Linked DNA regions of Coturnix japonica. The protein of the gene in region 2 interacts with the protein of the main gene of each other region in a pairwise test. Links are inferred from orthologs where the notes say so. Each region holds a gene or a part of one and is shown on either strand. Other genes may lie near its edges.

Region 1 (4,456 bases), on a different chromosome or scaffold from region 2:
TGCAACTCGGTACAGATGGGAACAGGGAAATAAAGGTAGTCAGTTATGGGCAGTGACAAGGCCAGTGCAGGACACGTCACTGTGCTGCACATTTAACTGCATATCCGCATGATCAGAACAGACTCATTCTGATATTCCATAGTTTCATGTGGCAGGCATGATAAATAACAAACTGCTGGATGTTAATAACACATTATTTTGTACTTCATATTGGAAAACTGAGTGCAGATATAACTAGCTATATCCCCAACACGTCTCATTCACTTCCTGTTCACCCACCTCCTCTATTTTCTTTATCCTGTTTACTCAGACTCCAAAACCACGAATAGGGCTTTTATTAACGTGTTCATCTGCTCACTTCGCACAGTGGCTATAGAAGTGAAGTTGTGAATGTTAGGCAAAACAAAGGTAGTCATAAATATGAAAGTACCTTAGAGTTGGGAAGTTTACAGTCACACCATCTGCCATCTATCATGTGTCGCTGGGACATGACCTTAACCTGGGTTTCATAATCCGTAAAACGAACAAAACCGAAACCCTTTGAGTGACCAGTCTTAATATCCTTTTTAACCTAGGATAAAAAAGAGCGGACTTTAAAACAGAACACAGTAGCACCGTGCTTGTGTTGGTGACATTAATGGCATGCTATTTACCTATCATCTTCTGTATCAATCTTGATATCATCACCAGAAAGGATACAGCCAGATCTCTGATTACCCCCCTTGTATACAACTACCTTTTCCTATGATACTAACCCTGCTATTATGCAGTCACAGCACAAGCTTCTGACACCTACAAATTTAATGCATTCTGACTGCTTTGAGCCCCAGTATTAGTTACTAAAACAGCAGGATCAGCATCAGGGTATAATTACTTTGTAACACTGTAATGACACGGCCAGACCTGCTATATAAACAATGCAAGCACACACAGCTGCATGCAGGACAGAGCCAGGCAGTGGTGACAGAGGTAACCTAGAGCATGCAACATGCTGTTCCTGAATTAATTTAGTAAAGCTTTGTTTTAAAGCCTGAAAAATAAGACATATACTCAGCTGTGACAATCAGCAACATAAACTAAAGAGCTGTTAATACATTGTACCCATTAGGCAGATCTGCGTGGATTACCACTCCCAAATATTCCCATCTGTACCCACACTACAAAGCTCTAAGGCACACAGCTTCAGATCTGCTCCTTTCTACTTTCTATCATCAGAACCCTGATTTCTACTTAACATCTTTCCATACTCAAAAAGTATTTTACCTGCACCATGAGGACTTCTCCAAATGTACTGAAGTATTCCTTTAAGTCTTGTTCTGTGGTTTTCCAAGGTAAACCTAGGACTATCAAGTCCGAAGTCTTCTGTACTGCTCGTTTTACCTTCACGGCTGAAGATGCATCTGTTTCATCCATTTTTCTCTTATTATCTGAATATAACGATGTACGTTAGAAATCATCCTCCTAACTTTAGAAACCCCTTCCACTAATCTTGAACAGCGCGGTATAAAACCAGACAACACTAAGAGGAAGTGCAGACAGCGGAAGAACACATGGCAGCTGTTGGAGGTTATCATTACAACCCACAGCCAACTGTCTGCAAGCGTGAAGAAAGAACGACCTACCAAGTCCTCCTATAAATGACCAAGTCCTCCTATCAATGCATTCTGAGTTAGTTTTGTGTTAGTTTACTCAAGGACCACCCAGTAATGTTTACTGAGGATGGGAACAAGATGGGTTTTTGACAACGATATTTAATGAGAAGGCTATTTCTAATTATTTTGGAGTGCTTTTGGTTGGATTTGTCTCACGTAGCTGTGACCAAAGCACGGCTTGAAGAGAAGTGTCTGTGAGTACACACAGCACCAGCATCTTTACAAGTTCTAATGAGGCTGCAACTCTCCCAAGCACAACATAAAACTGTCATCTAAGCCCTTCTGCAGCTAAAGAATTGAAGCTCTGAGTGCATCTGAAAACCCAGCGGGCTCAACTTCACCTGCAGGATGAACACAAGTCAATTGCTGTCACACACATCGATCTCTGGACTACAAAGCGCACTCATATGGAAACACAAAGGCACAGCACGAACCTTTGGGGTAGTTCACGACATAGACCAGGTTTCCCCAGCCGGCCTCAGGTGCGTGCAGGATGCCCTCCACCAGCCGCACGCCCCGCATACATTGCGATACCGGGTTGCGGTAACGCAGCCCACAGGCCCCGGGGAACTGCGCCGTGACGGTGGAGAGCAGCACGGTGCCGTCATCCTCCGACGGGATCTCGATGGGCTCATCGTTCTCGTCCTCCGTGACCCGGATGTACTCCGACATGTTCGCTGCAAGTCACTGAAGCGTGAGAGAGAAACACGCATCAATAACAGCCCCAACAACGCGCCTCGGGCCCAGCGGGGCACAGAGCGGCACCGAGCGGCACAACGGCAGGGCACGACCCGCCTCGCCCCGCCCCGAGCGGCGCAGGCCCCGCAGCGGCAACACCGGGCTCAGAGCCCCCACAGGGCCGGGAAGTGCAGAACAGCCCACGGGACAGCTCAGGGCTCACAGCTCACAGCTCGGAGCTCAGAGCTCACAGCCCGATCCCCGCCGCCCTCATTCCCAGCCCCGGCCGCCCCGCTCCTACCCGTCTCACCGGGCGGGAATGCAGCGCCGCGTCCTCAGCCCTCAGCGCCTCCAACGCGCCGCACAAAATGGCGGCCGGGCGGCGGGGCGAACCACTGTGAGGCGGAGGGGAAGATCGGGGCGTGTCGGCCGGCAGCGGGAGGGAGCCGGGATCGAGGCGCGGCTCCTGCGAGACGAACAGGAGCTGCAGCCCGACGTCCCGGAATGGCACGGGCCGACAGAACCGGAGCCGGGCTGTGCGTGCCGTTACCCCGCAATGGGCCGTGGTTCGGGCCGAGCCACGCGGGGGCTGCCGGGAGCGGCGTGAGGCGTTCCCGCCCTGTGCGCCTCCCTCAGGTGGCGGTGTCCGTCATGGCGGTGCGGGTCGGGTCGGGGCGGTTTGGAGCTGTTTAGAGCAGGTGATGCTCGCTGTTGTAACACTGCTTGCTGTTTAGTTCTTCCTAAGCCCAGTTTCTATTTAGTTAATGGGAAGTTAAGCCTCCATATGCTGCATAGTGATCTCCTGAGTCCCAGGCCATGATAACTAATGGACACTCGTGTTGTTGCTGCTGTTGCTCTGGCTCCATAAGGTAAGAACCCCACGCAGGACAGTGTCTGTGCTGAGCTGTGTGTGGGCAGCCAGATAAGGGTGGCTCAATCAGCAATACAATACAATTGTACAATACAATACAATACAGCACTGTGCTGTGCTGTAGTAAGGAAAGCAGCACCTTACAGCTCCCATCTCACCTGTTCTTGGTGCCTCTGATCACACACAGGCTGTGCTCACACCCAGATTGACTCCCCTTGTACCACTGTCCTTAAAAAGAACAAAAAGAAGCAATCTTGTTAGTAAAGGTAGGTGACTCCTGCTAGGTAGGGCCAATCCAGTTCCTTGCATCGACACAGAGAATTGCTGAGTATTTAAAGCTCCCACTTAAAACTTACAACTGCAAAACTTGGCTCTGGCACCACTGAAACTTGGCCCATCTGTGCCCCGGTAGCTTTAGACTCAGCCTTATCATTTAATTACCATTTTCCAACAGAGTTCTGAGAGCAGCTGACAAGACACAAGCTGACGAGATAAGCTAATGCTCCATGTAGGCGTTCTCTTGAAATTCCTACATTTTCCAGCCATCCACAAGACACGTCCCAAACCCAGTTCTGGTGTTGCCAAGTCAGCACGGAGGTAGTCGGTGTTGTCTGAACACGCCGTGAGGACTGAGCGGTAATTGCAGCATGTCAACATTACCTACTGCACCATTCCAAGTCAAAGCTATAGTTTAGCAATCAACGCTATTTGAAGAGGTTGCCGTGGCATTCAGCCAAAGTGACCTCTATCTGACAAAGCATCTGCTGCTAGTTTTATTAATGAGCAGAGTAAACATCAACCCTGTGCTAGATTTGTGCAGGTAAGAGCCAGGGGAGGGCAGTGAGCAAATGTAACTATCTTTTTTCTGTAAAAGCTGGGATTCTTGCAGCATTTTCCTACTGTTATTTTGCATGACTGTTCGATTTAAGTTAAGCAGATAACAACAGTGTTGCCCTTGAAGTAACTACACCAGCGGGCCAGCAGCTAGTTAATACACCAGTTGTCTCACGCTGGCAATTCACAGTGCCCATGGGTGCAGACAAATGCAGTACCGTGGTACTAACCATCATGTATATCGAGTTAAGTGTGCCCACAGGAAAGAAAGAAAATGCAATACAATAACTATTTGCTGCTCTGGGTTAAGTGTGCTCGTGGGTACAAACAAACTCCATAACGATCAGCTGTTTGTTCTCTCTCCCAAAAGCACTTGGGGTGAAAAACCGCCATCAATGGCCATTTAAATATAACCTCATGA
Region 2 (3,814 bases):
TTCCTAGTTTCAGAAACAGATGGAAAATAACTCTATGGATGTAGTAACTTACCCATGCATTGTGATACCTGCTTTTTGTCTGGATAGGGAGCTTGGAGATGTGGTTTAGTGGTTATACTGTAGGTATGGTAAAGGGAGGATGGTTGGACTAGATGATCTTGTAGGTCCTTTCCAACCTTGTGATTCTGTGATTAGGCTCCACGTGCAAAAATGAACCAGCAGCGGTCAAGAAGATTCAGAGCATCGAAGGAGGGCATGGAAGCTGCTGAAGAGAAGCAAAAAATAAGACAAGAAATTCTGGCAAAAGGTAAAGCTGTGGCCATACCTGATGTTGTTTTTCAAGTGAGAATTGCCTTTTATGTTTTTATTGTTTCAGTAAGGGTTAGAAAAGGGATGTTGTGCTCTCAAATATCTTTGTAAATTACAGAGAGGGAGGGTGTAGTGGATCTTTTTTCTCCCCTAAGTTAAGATCCAAGATAAAATGTCACTTTTGTTTTCTGTCTTCCTGCCTGAAATGGATTTGTGTTCTTTTAATTCCTTCAGGAAGAAAGTGAACAGAAGAACAGGGATAAACATAGTTTTGCTTAGCCTCCCACTACTATTACAGAAAGGAATGAATGTTTCTGGGTCCTAACAAAAAGTTAGTTGAGGCTTAGCAATGGAAATCGTGTGAAGGTGTTGCTGCACAGGAATAAGGAATATACTGCAAGCAAGGGTAGGTACTTAGATTGGAAATTTAAACTCAGGAACAGGGCGACCTCAGTGCAGTCTGAGAGTGACAGTAATATGACTCGAGTGAAAGCAGTGTTTGTAGCTGAAGAATGCTGAGTGTGCTGGAGGAATTACTTCTTCCTGCACAGTCACCTGAATTAATGTGGCCTTCCAAATGGAGGCATAGCCTTGTTAGAGGTTAAAAAGGCAGGGCATGCTTTTTTTGTTGCATTTCAAGACTATGGAGACTCTTCATGAAGTTCAGAGAGAAGTTGTTAGAGTAACTTTGTTTGGGAGCTCAAGTGAACAAGTAGTGGAAACATAGAGAACAATACAAGAACTATTTCCTAATGTTTTATCTCATTTAGCAAGTTTAGTTTCTTTGAGGCTTCTTCTAATTTCTGGCAAAGCAGGTAGTGAAATTACTGCTCTGAAGCAATAAACAACATTTCTAAGAGTACCAGTACCTAATTTTAGGATGAAAGTAATGTAATGTTAATTGCTATCAGGGTAGCCATCAGGGTGTTTGTCATGCAAAAGTACTTCTAATGTTCCATATTGATTTACTCATGTTAAATGTCTTTAACACTCTAGGTGGCATTCTTCCTCCGGAAGAAGTGAAGGAAAGATTTGACAGCAACTGTATTACCCCAGTAAGTGATCTTGCCCTTAACCACCAATTGTCAGTATCTGGATGATGGCTTAATTTCTTTTCATCTTTCCGTTTTTAGGGAACTGAGTTTATGGACAATCTTGCCAAATGTCTCCGCTATTACATCGCTGACCGTTTGAACAATGACCCAGGGTGGAAAAATTTGACGGTAAGTTTCACAGTTTGATACATGCATTGTTTTTATTATCTGAATGATGCACAATAGATGTCAGTCAATAAAAATTATTCATAGCAGCTTTCATGCTTTTCTTGACTTTGAGATTCTCTTATGCTGCTACTCAACCACTCCACTCCCATCAAGTTCTGTTTCTTATAGCCCTGTGTTTCATCAGTTGTCTGTATAATGTATCAGGAAGCTAATGATATGATAATTGCAGTGTATTTGAATCAATATGTCAGCTTGATCCTGAAAATTAGAGAAAAATTAAGGTCTGCTCAGAGGACCCAAACTCTTAAATAATCGATTTTTGAGACATAATATGAGACTTGACACTGCAAATTAGGATTTCATATACTGAATGTGACTTAAGAATACTTGAACTACCTACTGTTGGTGGGATTTTTGTTTTTTTTAAGGCTGGCAGCACAAATTGATCACCTAATCTGTACATCTTCTTAGGTAATCCTGTCTGATGCTAGTGCTCCTGGTGAAGGTGAACATAAAATCATGGATTACATTAGAAGACAAAGAGGTATACTTGTAACAGGCTGCGGTATGACATTTATTTCTCACCTGTTTTGCATTTATTGAACCAAAGCTGTGTGATTTTCTTTCATGTAGCTCAACCAAACCATGACCCAAACACTCATCATTGTCTGTGTGGGGCTGATGGTGAGTTCTTTGCTGACAGTATATCTCGCGTTAAACTTTCTTGTGCTGTTTTTCGACTGTGTTCAGCTGTAGCATTTAGAATTTGGTTTGCATTTGTATAAATAATCCAGTGTATCTGCTTTTGACGGCTGCTGTCTGTGGCTGAAGGGCTGACTTTCACTTAGTTGTACTGTCTGGGTAGTTTGTGGGTGAGCCCATAGTTGTGGTCATGCTTGCTTAAAGCACAATGAACGTGGCTTTATAGTTGTTTGTTTGAAGAAAGTGCTTAATGCTATCTCTCATTAGATTTTCTTCTTCTCTTTTGATTGGTAGCTGATCTAATAATGCTTGGATTAGCCACTCATGAGCCACATTTCACCATCATTAGGGAAGAGTTTAAACCAAATAAACCCAAGCCATGTGCTCTTTGTAACCAGATGGGTCACGAGGTTAAGGATTGTCAAGGTTTGCCTAGAGAAAAACAAGGCAAGGTAAGAATCCTGATCTTTCTACAAATTCTTCTCAGTGTGAACTAATTTGTGTCTTAATGATATCCTCACATTATTCTTGCTGTCAGTTTTGTCTGAAGCGTAATACAAATTATGCTACTGGAATTGCCTGGCTTTTGTTTTATATTAATAAAATGATACTTCTGTAGCATATAAATACTATGTGGAATCTAACTTTCTCACTTATTAGTTTTCTTTCTTTTTCCCACTGGCAAGGGAGGATAATCATTAACTTAAGACACACAAAGTAGTGAAATACATGCTTGGCATAAAGAACTTGAGGACCAGTGCTTGTGTATCTCTTAGCTCTTTTCCAAGTATGCTTTAAAATGGAGCAGGATAAACTTAAAAGCGAGCTTGGATACAATTCAGTTATTTCTTTTCATTTTAGCACGATCAGTTTGCAGACAGTCTTCCTGCCTCTGAACAAGAATTTATCTTCATCCGCTTATGTGTTTTGCGAGAGGTATGTTGAAGCAGTTAATAAATCCTACATATATGAGTAATATTAAACTTTGTTGACAATGGTTCTTGGTGTCTTTTGCCTGTGTTGCAGTATTTAGAAAGAGAACTCACTATGGCCAGTTTACCTTTCACTTTTGATTTTGAAAGAAGTGTTGATGACTGGGTCTTTATGTGCTTCTTTGTTGGAAATGACTTTCTTCCTCATCTGCCATCTCTGGAGATCAGGTATGTGAGAATATACTTTCCTTCAAGTATACCTCCTGTAGCTTTAAATGACAAGTCTCATGCTTTTGTGTTTGCTTTCTAGGGAGGGAGCAATTGATCGCTTGGTAAACATATATAAAAACGTGGTGCACAAAACTGGGGTAATGTTTTTTTGTTCTTTTTAAAGATCTCTTTGTTTGCTACCAATGTAGATTTGTTTTTCAACCACATTACGTTGTGTTTTACAGGGCTATCTCACAGAAAGTGGTTTTGTCAACCTGCAGCGAGTCCAGATGATCATGTTGGCTGTTGGAGAAGTTGAAGATAGTATATTCAAAAAGCGAAAAGACGATGATGTAAATTCCGTGTTTTGTTCTTGGAATTTTGTTTTCATCACTTCTGTTACTGTGATAATCCTTAATAGGATATGAGGGGGGGAAA

The links.
Region 1: the proteins of XRN2 (region 2) and TARDBP interact in binary tests that used the Homo sapiens proteins (3 or more experiments, as listed by UniProt). The link is inferred for Coturnix japonica from reciprocal best matches to the Homo sapiens genes XRN2 and TARDBP.

What each region holds. Positions count from the first base shown.
Region 1 is NC_029536.1:3,498,317-3,502,772, reverse strand, and holds the start of TARDBP (TAR DNA-binding protein 43), read right to left. Parts: upstream 2,898-4,456; 5' UTR 2,632-2,897; intron 2,340-2,631; 5' UTR 2,325-2,339; coding exon 2,087-2,324; intron 1,428-2,086; coding exon 1,264-1,427; intron 572-1,263; coding exon 431-571; intron 1-430. UniProt on the Homo sapiens protein: RNA-binding protein that is involved in various steps of RNA biogenesis and processing.
Region 2 is NC_029518.1:4,192,956-4,196,769, forward strand, and holds part of XRN2 (5'-3' exoribonuclease 2), read left to right. Parts: intron 1-195; coding exon 196-307; intron 308-1,305; coding exon 1,306-1,364; intron 1,365-1,442; coding exon 1,443-1,532; intron 1,533-2,003; coding exon 2,004-2,076; intron 2,077-2,165; coding exon 2,166-2,216; intron 2,217-2,528; coding exon 2,529-2,686; intron 2,687-3,095; coding exon 3,096-3,170; intron 3,171-3,260; coding exon 3,261-3,394; intron 3,395-3,476; coding exon 3,477-3,534; intron 3,535-3,621; coding exon 3,622-3,729; intron 3,730-3,814. UniProt on the Homo sapiens protein: Possesses 5'->3' exoribonuclease activity. May promote the termination of transcription by RNA polymerase II.